Macaca fascicularis: one gene and its partners. The protein of the gene in region 2 purifies or fractionates together with the protein of the main gene of each other region. This does not show direct contact. Links are inferred from orthologs where the notes say so. Each region holds a gene or a part of one and is shown on either strand. Other genes may lie near its edges.

Region 1 (3,749 bases), on a different chromosome or scaffold from region 2:
GAGTGTCAAGAAAGAGTTCGTGGTCGATCTCACTGGACTGTATTTTTAAAGATTAATATGAGTTCCCAGGCAGAAAATGTAGGAAAGAGCATTTCAAGCAATGCTGACCACATATGCAAAGCCAAAGGAAATATATTTGCATTGCTAGAACGAAAAGTTTCAGGGGGGACTAAAGAGAGATGAAGCTGGAAGAGGTGCGTAGGGGCCAGGTTGTTAACAGCTGTGGTGCTATCTTTTCTTTTTTCTTTTTCTTTTCTTTTCTTTTTTTTTTTTTTTTTTTCTTTTTTGAGACTGGCTCTGTCTCACAGGCTGGAGTGGCGCGATCTAGGATCACTGCAACTTCCGCCTCCTGGGTTCAAACGATTCTCCTGCCTCAGCCTCCTGAGTAGCTGGGTCTACAGGCGCACACCATCACGACTGGCTAATTTTTTTGTATTTTTTTAGAGACTTCACCATGTTGGCCAGGCTGGTCTCGAACTCTCGATCTCAAGTGATCCGCCCGCCTCGGCTGCCCAAAGTGCTGGGATTACAGGCGTGAGCCACTGCGCCTGGCCTGTGATGCTATCTTTTCAGGAAAGGAAAAAAAAAAAAAAATCTTGAACACCTATGCTAGGTGCTAGGAGATAAAACAAGGAACGCAGACCTGCTCCCTGTGTCTTGAAACTTAAAATCTTGCATGGATGGAGAAATGAGATGGAGAAAAAAGAAAACCTAAAACACGTAAACTAATTTAAAAAATAATTGAACATTGTATTAACTGTAGGAAGAAAACAAACCAGTTGCCGAGATTAATTACGCTTTGGGAACAAATGCGGTTCACAGGAGTACCAAAGATTTAACTGTAACCTATTATAAGAACTGAGTACTGGACATTTTCAGAACAGTAATGGCACATAATTCACAGCAGTGCCAAAGATTTAACTGTAACCTATTATAAGAACGGAGTACTGGACATTTTCAGATCAGTAATGGCACATTATGCATATGTAGATGTTAATTTTTACCGACACCCAAAAAGACATGACAATAGCAATCAAGGAGTACCCACTGCCTCCTGGCATCGATAGAAAAAGCCCATCTGCAAGTTAAGTGCCAAGCCACCACGAGCCCGTTAGCTTTTACGCATGTGCAGTGAGTCATCTTGAAGTAAACTGGAATGCCATGTTTATCTTCCTCTCAACCAGCTTCCAGAACGACTTTTAGCTCAGTTGTACAACAGACGGCCTTACCCTTTAGTCTTTCAACAAACATCTCATTTAAGGTACCTAGACCCACACAAAAACACTTTCTGCCCTCCACATCCCACCGTTAAGGCTCCAACTACCTTTAATATGGCGGAGACCGAGCCTGCGCAGTACAAGCAGAGAAGGCAAATAACAGTTTCTGGAATAACGTTACATGCCCTTCTTCCGGTATGGAAGACTATACCATTCCCATACCCTATAATTCTGTTTGTTCTATTTCACACATACAATTTTCCGAGACAAGATGTTCTAATTTAAGTCACAAGAAGATTCGTCTCTCCCTATTCCTGTAACTGCTGCTTATATCGTCACGTCCCGGAAAGGTCCCTGTCTTCCCTGAATGGTCTCTACCAAGTTCACCTCCGGTTCTAGGTGTCATGGCTGCCCCGAGAGTCTAGGTAAGAGTTTGTTCCCGTGGTGCGGAGGGTCAAGGCCCACACCCGGAGACCTAGCGAGGTAAAGTTGCGTCTTGGTTGTAGAGACGACAACTTCTCCGCTTTCTCTGCAATGGCGGCGTCCGGGAGCGGTATGGCTCAGAAAACCTGGGAATTGGCCAACAATATGCAGGAAGCTCAGAGTATCGATGAAATCTACAAATACGACAAGAAACAGCAGCAAGAAATCCTGGCGGCGAAGCCCTGGACTAAGGAGTGAGGAGGTCCCTGGCGAGACGCAGGGGAGGGAAGGGTTGGCGGGAGTTTAAGAGACCCAGAGGGAGAGGGAGGTGAAAGGGGTGAAGAGCTTTCACCGACGGGGAGGGGAACAGAATATGCGCCTTGGATCTGCAAGTAGAGCCTAAGCCCTCCGCTGGGGCTTTGACTCCCCTTTCTGTCGCTTTAATCCATTTACCCCCGGATGATGTAAGGGGAGAACAACAAGCGGTGATTTAAGTTGTCACTTCTGAACATCCGTATTGTCATATATGCCGCACACCCTGCCTTGAACCCAGTGGCGACATGCACCTTATTTGGGTCTTCAGCTATTCCCTTACTGGGGACCGCAGTTGTTTTCAGAAATCGAGTCAGCAGCTCAAGGTCTCAAAAATAGCTATGAGCTATTTTCTTTTATTTTCTTTTTTAACTAGAGGTGGGTCCTCGCTATGTCGCTCAGGCTGATCCCGAGCTCCTGCCTTCAAGCGATCCTCCCACCTTGGCCTTCCAAAATGCTGGAATTACAGGCGTGAGGCCTGGGTCTATAATAGTTTTTTGATTGCTGATAATTATTTCGGAGGCACACGGAGGCTCTACCTGGTCTCTACAATGTTACTCCATCAGTTCCCATAAGCCAGAAATTTTAAAAATAGAGCTTAAGACTTTTTGCCCTTCAACAATACCCATTTTTCCCTGGGAGTGGTGACAAGTCGAGGGATCTTTACCCATAATATTTATGTTTTCCTGAGAGCATCTCCTGAGAGATTTCCTGCTCTCAGGAAAAGATAATTATTACGGGCTATGTTTGAGAGAGAGTAAAAGGAGCACAAAAGCTAATGGTTAGATAGAAATGAGAGCTGCAGTCAACAAGAGGACATACTTCTACTGCCTCACAGTTTTTTTTACAAAGCTAGCCTTGTCTCAGTATTCAGATTCCACAATGGTGAATTGCGGAAGCATCTAGCTAGAGATTTCCACGTCATTTAATCTTTATGACAACCCAGTACAGTATATCCATCCTTTTTTTACAAATTAAAAAACAAGCAAATACATTATGTAATTTATGATCACACTGAGATAAGTGAACTCTTAGCTGAGCAATAGTCAGACCTAAGATCAAACTTCACAGCTGTCACTAACTAGTTGACTGACCTTAGGAAATTTACTTATCCATCTTCATTTGTCATAGTATGGAAATAAGACCTACCTATTGGTATTGTCATAGAGATTAGGTGAGATAATGTATAAAAAGAGTCGTCTAGAATATATGTAATAGGAGCACAGTAACTTGTCTTTCTTCTTTTCTCCAGTAAAGGGAGAAGCCAAGATTTCGATTCATGTCTTGATTTCCAACATGAGGTCTACACATTTTTCAGCTTTTGGTTGAAATCTGGCAAAGCTTAGGAATTAAATTTGGATTCTTTCTGTGGGCAGACATCTAAAAAGGCTTTGTAGAGACGTTGACTGACTGCTCTGTAAGGCTGCTTAAGTTGCTTGGTTGTCTGCTTGTTTCTGTAGCAGGTTGTGCATTTTAGGTTTGTGTACTCTTAAATATTTGGAAACTGTCGGCCTGCTTCACTGTCTAATTGTGGCTCTAATTATATTCATCCTAGCTGTCTTGGGCTGCACTAATGAGACCAAAATGTAATTTTATTCAAGAGTTTAATTCACTGATGACCAACTCTGAAATAATGATCATAGAAGACTAGGATATTATGGCTACTTTTTAATTTGAGGCTGATATAACAGGGAAGCCCACCCTTCAACACTCTGTTCTTTGAGAGTAGGGTTAAGAGACAGGTTAATAATGCTGATAACAGCTAGCACTTATTAGGGTTCTAGTATGTGTAAGGTG
Region 2 (3,661 bases):
GATCTCGGCTCACTGCAACCTTCGCCTCCCGGGTTCAAGCGATTCTCCTGCCTCAGCCTGCCGAGTAGGTGGGACTACAGGCGCGCGCCACCACATCCAGCAAATTTTTTGTATTTTTAGTAGAGACGGGGTTTCACCGTGTTGGCCAGGATGGTCTAGATCTCTTGACCTCGTGGTCAGCCCACCTTGGCCTCCCAAAGTGCTGGGATTACAGGAGTGAGCCACCGCGCCCAGCCCAGAAGGGGCTTCAATTCTATGGATGATCAATAGTCTATATCTTCTAGTATTTTAAGGGCAGGCATTAGAAAAATATATACCATCACCATTTACGTATTTGAAAATGCCCACAGTTACTTTTGATCCCAGTCCTCTTCCTGACGATTACTGGGTGACATCAATATCCCTTTCATTCCTTCAATAAACACTCCTTATTTTTATTTTATTTTACTATTTTTTTTTTGAGATGGAGTTTCACTCTTATTGCCCAGGCTGGAGCGTAATGGCGCAATCTTGGCTTACTGCAACCTCACCTCCCAGGTTCAAACGATTCTCCTGCCTCAGCCTCCTGAGTAGCTGGGATTACAGGCACCTGCTACCACGCCCAGCTAATTTTTGTATTTTTAGTAGAGACAGGGTTTCAGCATGTTGCCCAGGCTGGTCTCAAACTCCAGACCTCAGGTGATCCGCCCGCCTCGGCCTCCCAAAGTGCTGGGATTACAGGCGTGAACCACCGTGCCCGGCCAGCAAACACTTCTTTAGCACAACCTGGCATGGGGAACTGCTCACCCCTTTGATGAAGGTGGGTTTGTCCTTGATGCCAAAATTCCAGAGCATGATATCTCCCCCTTTGGAACCCACAGCCACAGTGCTGGGGTGAGTCGGGTGCCACGCCAAGGATGTAGCCCTCCTGTCAAAGGGGGCAGCCTTTTGTAATATCCGGTAAGAATCCAGAGTGTGCAAAAAGGACTGCTGGAGCCCCTGCCACAGAGAGAAATGAATTAGGTTGAATTAAAACCCAAGTTCTGGGTAAACTGCCAATCTCTGCCTCCTTCATAGATGAGCCCTAGAGCCAAGTCCTCCCACCAAAGGAAAGCTAACCGCCTGCCCTGTGCATGAAAATATTTGCAATGTACATGAACTAATAATCTGGGAAAGCAAAAGGGGCAGAGTGCATTCCAGCTGGGACCTTTACAACATAAGACTTTTTTTAGATGGCTGAGTGCCCAGTAGGCCAGTCACCACAGTCTGGGTGATCGGACCACTCTGACAAGCTGGTGAACCAAGCCATCATCTAATTTGGGAGCATGCAATAGTAAAAATGCACGTGCAAACCCTTGAGGACTTGAGGCAAAAAATGCCTTACCTGCTGGACAGATGGCCAGGAAGCTCTGCCCAGCTTATGCTGGTGGAGGGTCCTGACGATGCTGTGGCATGGCGGCAGGATCTGTGGGCCAGCCAGCCCCGCCCAGAGGCAGTCTGAGTCACCTCTTCTGCTAGGACCTGCCAAGCAGAACAGACATATTTTCCTCTCCAATCTCACGAAAGGTTTTTCTGCTGAATTCCCTGAAAGGAAGCCTTGTTTCATTCGGCATGGCTAATCTCTGTCTCATCATCTCCTGAGGCCTTTCTGTGTCTGTGCGGTCTCACCCAGCACCAGAAATAAAAAAAAAAATGAGTAGGGATTTGGCCCCTTCCCCAAAACACTCCTCCAAACAGTAAGACTGAAATGAAAGTAAATAATCGTGCAGGGTTCCTGAGACCCCAGCCAAAGAAACACACAAGAATAAAGTACACTGCAGAACTCTTCCCAGTTTGGGCTGCAAAACGAGATGGGACAGGGTCACAATTTTATAAATCACATATAATGCACAATAAAAATATTTTAGGGGAGCATGGCAGAAGTCACCGTTTAGGAAAAGAAGGAATAGGAAGGCCTGGAAATGCTCTTAACTAGGTTACTTCTGGGGAGGTGAGTGAAATTAGAATAGCAATAAAGCAACAACTCCGGATCACCAAACTTGCATTTGAGGACCCAATCACTATAGGTCCGACGTCCTGACAACCAATTCTTTCTTCACATGGACAAAACCCACTTGATTAACAAGCCCCAGCTCCAGTTTTTGAGTGTCTCGAAACTCCTTATAGCCCCAGGTTCAAGCCCCAGTAAACCTCAGAGAATGAGCTTTCTAAGGAGGGAAGGAATTGGGGGCTCTCACAACTGACCACCTAGCACGTGCAGCTAACAAGCGTGACTATGAAATCCAGCACACACAGTGCCAGGAAAGGTAGGATTCTCTGAAGCCGTCCAAACTGTGCAAGAACCCTGCTACAAACAAGGAATCTGACAAGTCCGTGTGTCTGTTGTTACGGAGCTTGTCTGCTTCCTGTCACCTGGCGGGAGAGGTGTTGAAGCCTAAACGCTCTGGTGTCAAAGAACCTGCAGGTAGAATGCACAGCCGGAGGCATCCGTGACCTGCGCCGGCCTCGGGAGCCTCGGAGCACCCATCCCCCGCTGCAGCCTCCTGCGCGAGCACCCCTAAAGGCGGAAATATTCAAGCAGCAGGCACAGGCAGTACCGGAGCCCTTCGCACAGAGCTTCTTGGCCTCGGGCTCCAGCTCCCGGGGACTCCTGCTCCTCTTGTTCCTGGGGCGTAATACAATCTCGGAGGTCTTCTGGGTTTCTGGGCGTTTCTTGGGAGCCATCGCGTCCTCCGTGCGAAGGGGTACTGTGCTCTATGCGAAGATCATGGAGGGAGGATTGAGAGACCTCTGGGGAGAAACAAGGCGGGGACTACAAAACTGCGGGGCCACAGGTAGCCGACTAAGCCAACTTCCCGCCAAACATGCCCAGGGCTTGTTCAAACCAGCTCCGAGCTCCGGCCCCACCCGTCTAGGAGACCCCGCCCCTTCCTGGAAGGAGGGGGCGCGGGGAGGGGGCGGTGCCAGCGCTCTCGGGAGGGGCGGGAACTGCGCCAGGGCCTGTGCCAGCCCGGGTCAGCTGACCTGCCCGGAGCAAAGATGGCCCCCGGCTTTATGTTTTATTTTTTTCAGCCACAGGGTCTGGCTCTGTCGCCCACGCTGGAGAGCAGTGGCGCGATGATAGGTCAGTGCAGCCTCCACCTCCTGGGCTCAAGCGATCCTCCCACCTCAGCCTCCTAAGTAGATGGGACTACAAGCGTGCGCCACCCCGCCCGGCTAATTTATCTCTCTCTCTCTTTTTCTTTTTTTTTCTTTTTCTGGAGAGACGGGGTCTCGCTATGTTGTCCAGGCCGGTCTTGAACTCATGGGCTTAAGTAATCATCCAGCCTTGGCCTCCCGACACGAACCCTCCTCAGACGAGGCGCTGCCAGGCCTCTGCGGGTCCGGGGAGGAGGCCTGGTACCAGCCAAGGCCCTGGCTCCCGCCTTGCAACTGGTGATGACTCCCGCTCGGGCTTTGGGATTGGCTGGTAGCTACAGGGTGTAGTTGGGGCGTGGCGGCTTTGTAGAGAGCTAGTGCCTTTCCTAAGTTAGAAGCTGCGCTGTACCAGCGGTCAGCTTTGCAGTCGGAATCCAGAAACTACAGCCCCATAGAATCCAAGCTGCTTCTCTGTGAAGGGAGAATGATTGGAACGCCTTGCCTTTTTTTTTTTCTTTTTTTTTTTTTTTTTTGAGACGGAGTC
Region 3 (3,749 bases), on a different chromosome or scaffold from region 2:
GCCTCAGCCTCCCGAGTAGCTGGGACTACAGGCGCCCGCCACCTCGCCCGGCTAGTTTTTTGTATTTTTAGTAGAGACGGGGTGTCACCGTGTTAGCTAGGATGGTCTCGATCTCCTGAACTCGTGATCCGCCCGTCTTGGCCTCCCAAAGTGCTGGGATTACAGGTTTGAGCCACCGCGCCCGGCCTTTTTTTTTTTTTTTTTTGAGACGGAGTCTCGCTCTGTCGCCCAGGCTGGAGTGCAGTGGCCGGATCTCAGCTCACTGCAAGCTCCGCCTCCCGGGTTTACGCCATTCTCCTGCCTCAGCCTCCCGAGTAGCTGGGACTACAGGCGCCGGCCACCTCGCCCGGCTAGTTTTTTGTATTTTTTAGTAGAGACGGGGTTTCACCGTGTTAGCCAGGATGGTCTCGATCTCCTGACCTCGTGACCCGCCCCTCTCGGCCTCCCAAAGTGCTGGGATTACAGGCTTGAGCCACTGCGCCCGGCCTCAGCTAATTTTTTGTATTTTTAGTAGAGATGGGGTTTCACCGTGTTAGACCGTCAGGATGGTCTCGATCTCCTGACCTTGTGATCCGCCTGCCTCAGCCTCCCAAAGTGCTGGGATTACAGGCGTGAGCCACTGCGCCCAGCCCTGTTTGTATTTTTAATAGAGACAGGGTTCTGCCATATTGGTTTCACCTCCTGACCTCAGGTGATCCACCTGCCTTGGCCTTCCAAAGTGCTGGGATTACAGGCGTGAGCCACTGCACCAGGCCAAGTGCTTCTTTTTCATCACCTTGATGGATACTCTTTAGTTCCACTGCAGATGAAAGCAGGGAAAAGTCAGCCAGTTTTCACCATATCACAGAGTGATCCAAAAGGTTAAACCACAGGCCCCACATAACTTAGCTCAGTTTACCCACATATCACTGTCAGCATGTCAGGACTCAGGCTGCCTCCTCTGTAAATTAACTCTGCCACTTTTGTGTGAATGGTTCTCTCTGCTGTGTTCCTAGTGTTTGCCATGTGTCTTTGGGAAAAAGACACATTCTCCCTTAGCTACCTTGAACAGATTAGCATATGCTGCACATAGGGAAGAATAGGGCATGCTAATTTAACATGTTCACTACCCACTTGTACCAGACTTTACACTTTCCCATAATCTCACTTTATTCCCACAACAGAGGGGGCAGTATTGTCTCCATTTTTAAAAAAGAGAGCTCAGGCCCTAAAACAAAAGTGACCTGATCAAGGTGACATGAGAATTAACAGCTATTACGCTGGTGGAGACGGGCTGGAAATCAGATTTCCTATTCTGAATAACATGCTCTTTTGCTTAAAATGAAAAACAGTGGACTTTACAGATCCTTTATCTCCAAAGGAAAGCTGGTTTGCTTGTTTACTGGTTACTTTTGCAAGTTGGCATTTAATCATCACTGTTTTCTTGTTCAACTGAATGGTATGGGATCACAAATTGAGCCCTGCCCACCCATTCTCAAATTCAAACCTTTGCCCATGCTTCTCTGTGGACTATTCAAGCCAGCAACCCACCTCTCTAACATTGGGCATGTCCAGCAGTTCTCCAAACACGTAGACACCAGGGGCCTCCAGCACCTGATGGATGAGTGTGGCCAGCGCTGCCCCCTTGGCCGACTTGGCTAGGAGCAGAAATTGCTCCTGGTTCTGCCCTGTCACCTTCACTTCCGCACTCATGACTGCACTGAGCTGGGGGCACCTGGGCTCAGGATGTCCAGAGCTGCAAGGAAAGAGAATGTGAAGCTAGAGATCCCCGATGGCTGGTAGGATGGGAAGCACAAGGCTGAAGGACTGGATTGTTATAGGTACTAAGTCGGTTCTGCGGTGAGGAATCACACATGGAGCGGTCTAGAATTCTGATCTACAAATCCTAAAGTCAGCCACTTCACAAGGCTGCCACACCCACCCCCTCCCCCGAGCCTAACCCCAAGCCCCATCATGTGCACCGCCACTGAACCCCAAGACAGGATGCAACGGAGAAAGGGGTGTCGCATGGTATCCACACTAACGACGACGCTCCCTCAGTTCTCCACTCCTGCCCCGCACGCGCCCACAACCACGTGACCTCACCCCAATGAAGCTTACACGTGGCTCCGCCCCCTCCCTTAAAGACACCGCCCAGCGACCGTGGGCTCCCGCCGACTGCTTCGTCGTACCCTGGGTCAGGCTCTGCGGGCCGCTACCTGGAAGCTTCGCCCTCCAGCGCACCGGGCGGGGCCGCCGCTCCGTCACCTCCGGCAGCTGTTCCAAGCCTTTCCTGCCACCTCCCTGAAGAGTCGCTCTGGCCACTAAACTCTATGGCGGGCTTCCGGCCGTACTTCCGCTCTAAGGACGCAAATTTCGGCAGGACATGCCCCGCCCCCGCGTTCCAACCGCTGAAGCTCCAGTGAGGGACGCAAGCATTCTACTCTCCGATTGGTCGCCGGGGGAAGAATGACGGGCGCCTTTTTAAATACTGTATTTCAATAAAACTTTATTAGTGGAAGATCGCTAGCCACTAAACACAGACGTCTTTGGCGGGTCCCCTGGTCTCGGCCGACTCTGTGTTTGTTCTAAGCCGCTGGAGAGCTGGAGATCAGGACTGCCCTGGGTGCCTGAGGCAAGAGAAAAGCTGTAATGGAATGAGTGAAGAAGCGGGAAAAAAACGGGATGGGGGAGTAAGGGGCAGAGAGGAAGTAAACAATAATCAATAATAGAAGTTTAGCAGCAGAGATCACCTAGGTCGTTCAACCACTCACTTTTTTGAAGAGCAGGAGAAAAGAAGTGAGAAGAGTAAAAGATAATAATTGCTAACATGTATTGAGTGCTTACTATTGGTCAGACATCTTTTAAAATTTTATTCCGTTGAATCCTCACAAATATTCCCAGTGTGACTTCAGGACACCCTCTACCATGATTACTATATATGTATTAATACTTGTAGAATGATGCTTTCAGTACATGGACTCTTAGTTTCTTGGGGCGGAAAAACCCCTATGTTACTCATTTTACAGAAAAGGAAATTGAGACTCATAAAAATCCAAGGATTTATCTGGAGCTTTTCAAACTCAAAACCATCTTTCTACTTCAACATACTTTAATAAAAACAAAAACAACTAACATTTATATAGTGTTTTATATTTCACAGCAGGCTTGCAGAAGGTCAAGTGAGGGTAAAGTTAATGACATCTTGGCCTTTGTGTTAAGCTACGAGCATTACTTAATTCATCTGATACAACAATCTAGTAATTGTTATCTCCACTTTCCAGATGGAAAAACTGAGACTCAGGAAAATTAAGAAACTTATAAGTAATGGAAAGACAAGAAAGTGAAAAAGAGAAAGATAAAGAGAAATAGAACTCGTAGTCTGTTAGGGCTAAAGGAACTGCAGATGCAGTTTATGGTCCACATATTTTGGTTTGTAATAGAAAATAAGCAGAAACACAGAAAGGAAAGGGAAAGGAGGAAGAGGAGAAGAAGAAATGAATGGAAAAGGTGAAACAAAAGTGAGAAGGAATCAAAGGCATAATAAAATATTAAAACTTTGAAGGAACCAAGGAATTAATGAGTCCAAACTTATTTTTTTTTTTGCATCCACCCCTCCCCGCCCAAGCTTATCTTTTCTTTTTTATTTTTTTTTTGAGCCAGGATTTCGCTCTTGCCACCCAGGCTGGAGTACAATGGCACAGTCTTGGCCCACTGAACCTCTGCCTCTTGGGCTCAAATGATTCTCCTGCTTTGGCCTCCCGAGTAGC

What was found. The genes of interacting proteins can lie anywhere in the genome.
Region 1: the proteins of DDB2 (region 2) and COPS5 purify together in Homo sapiens (affinity purification with mass spectrometry; 10 studies listed by BioGRID and IntAct, counting the BioPlex papers as one, with this or other methods). This does not show direct contact. The link is inferred for Macaca fascicularis from reciprocal best matches to the Homo sapiens genes DDB2 and COPS5.
Region 3: the proteins of DDB2 (region 2) and COPS7A purify together in Homo sapiens (affinity purification with mass spectrometry; 5 studies listed by BioGRID and IntAct, counting the BioPlex papers as one, with this or other methods). This does not show direct contact. The link is inferred for Macaca fascicularis from reciprocal best matches to the Homo sapiens genes DDB2 and COPS7A.

What each region holds. Positions count from the first base shown.
Region 1 is NC_088382.1:77,046,858-77,050,606, reverse strand, and holds the start of COPS5 (COP9 signalosome complex subunit 5), read left to right. Parts: upstream 1-1,618; 5' UTR 1,619-1,751; coding exon 1,752-1,894; exon of another isoform or gene 1,895-1,902; intron 1,903-3,749. UniProt on the Homo sapiens protein: Probable protease subunit of the COP9 signalosome complex (CSN), a complex involved in various cellular and developmental processes.
Region 2 is NC_088388.1:18,629,332-18,632,992, forward strand, and holds the start of DDB2 (DNA damage-binding protein 2), read right to left. Parts: upstream 2,893-3,661; 5' UTR 2,704-2,892; coding exon 2,577-2,703; exon of another isoform or gene 2,392-2,576; intron 1,501-2,391; coding exon 1,364-1,500; intron 979-1,363; coding exon 787-978; intron 1-786.
Region 3 is NC_088385.1:7,643,769-7,647,517, reverse strand, and holds the start of COPS7A (COP9 signalosome complex subunit 7a), read right to left. Parts: upstream 2,306-3,749; 5' UTR 2,199-2,305; exon of another isoform or gene 2,101-2,198; intron 1,736-2,100; 5' UTR 1,693-1,735; coding exon 1,531-1,692; intron 1-1,530.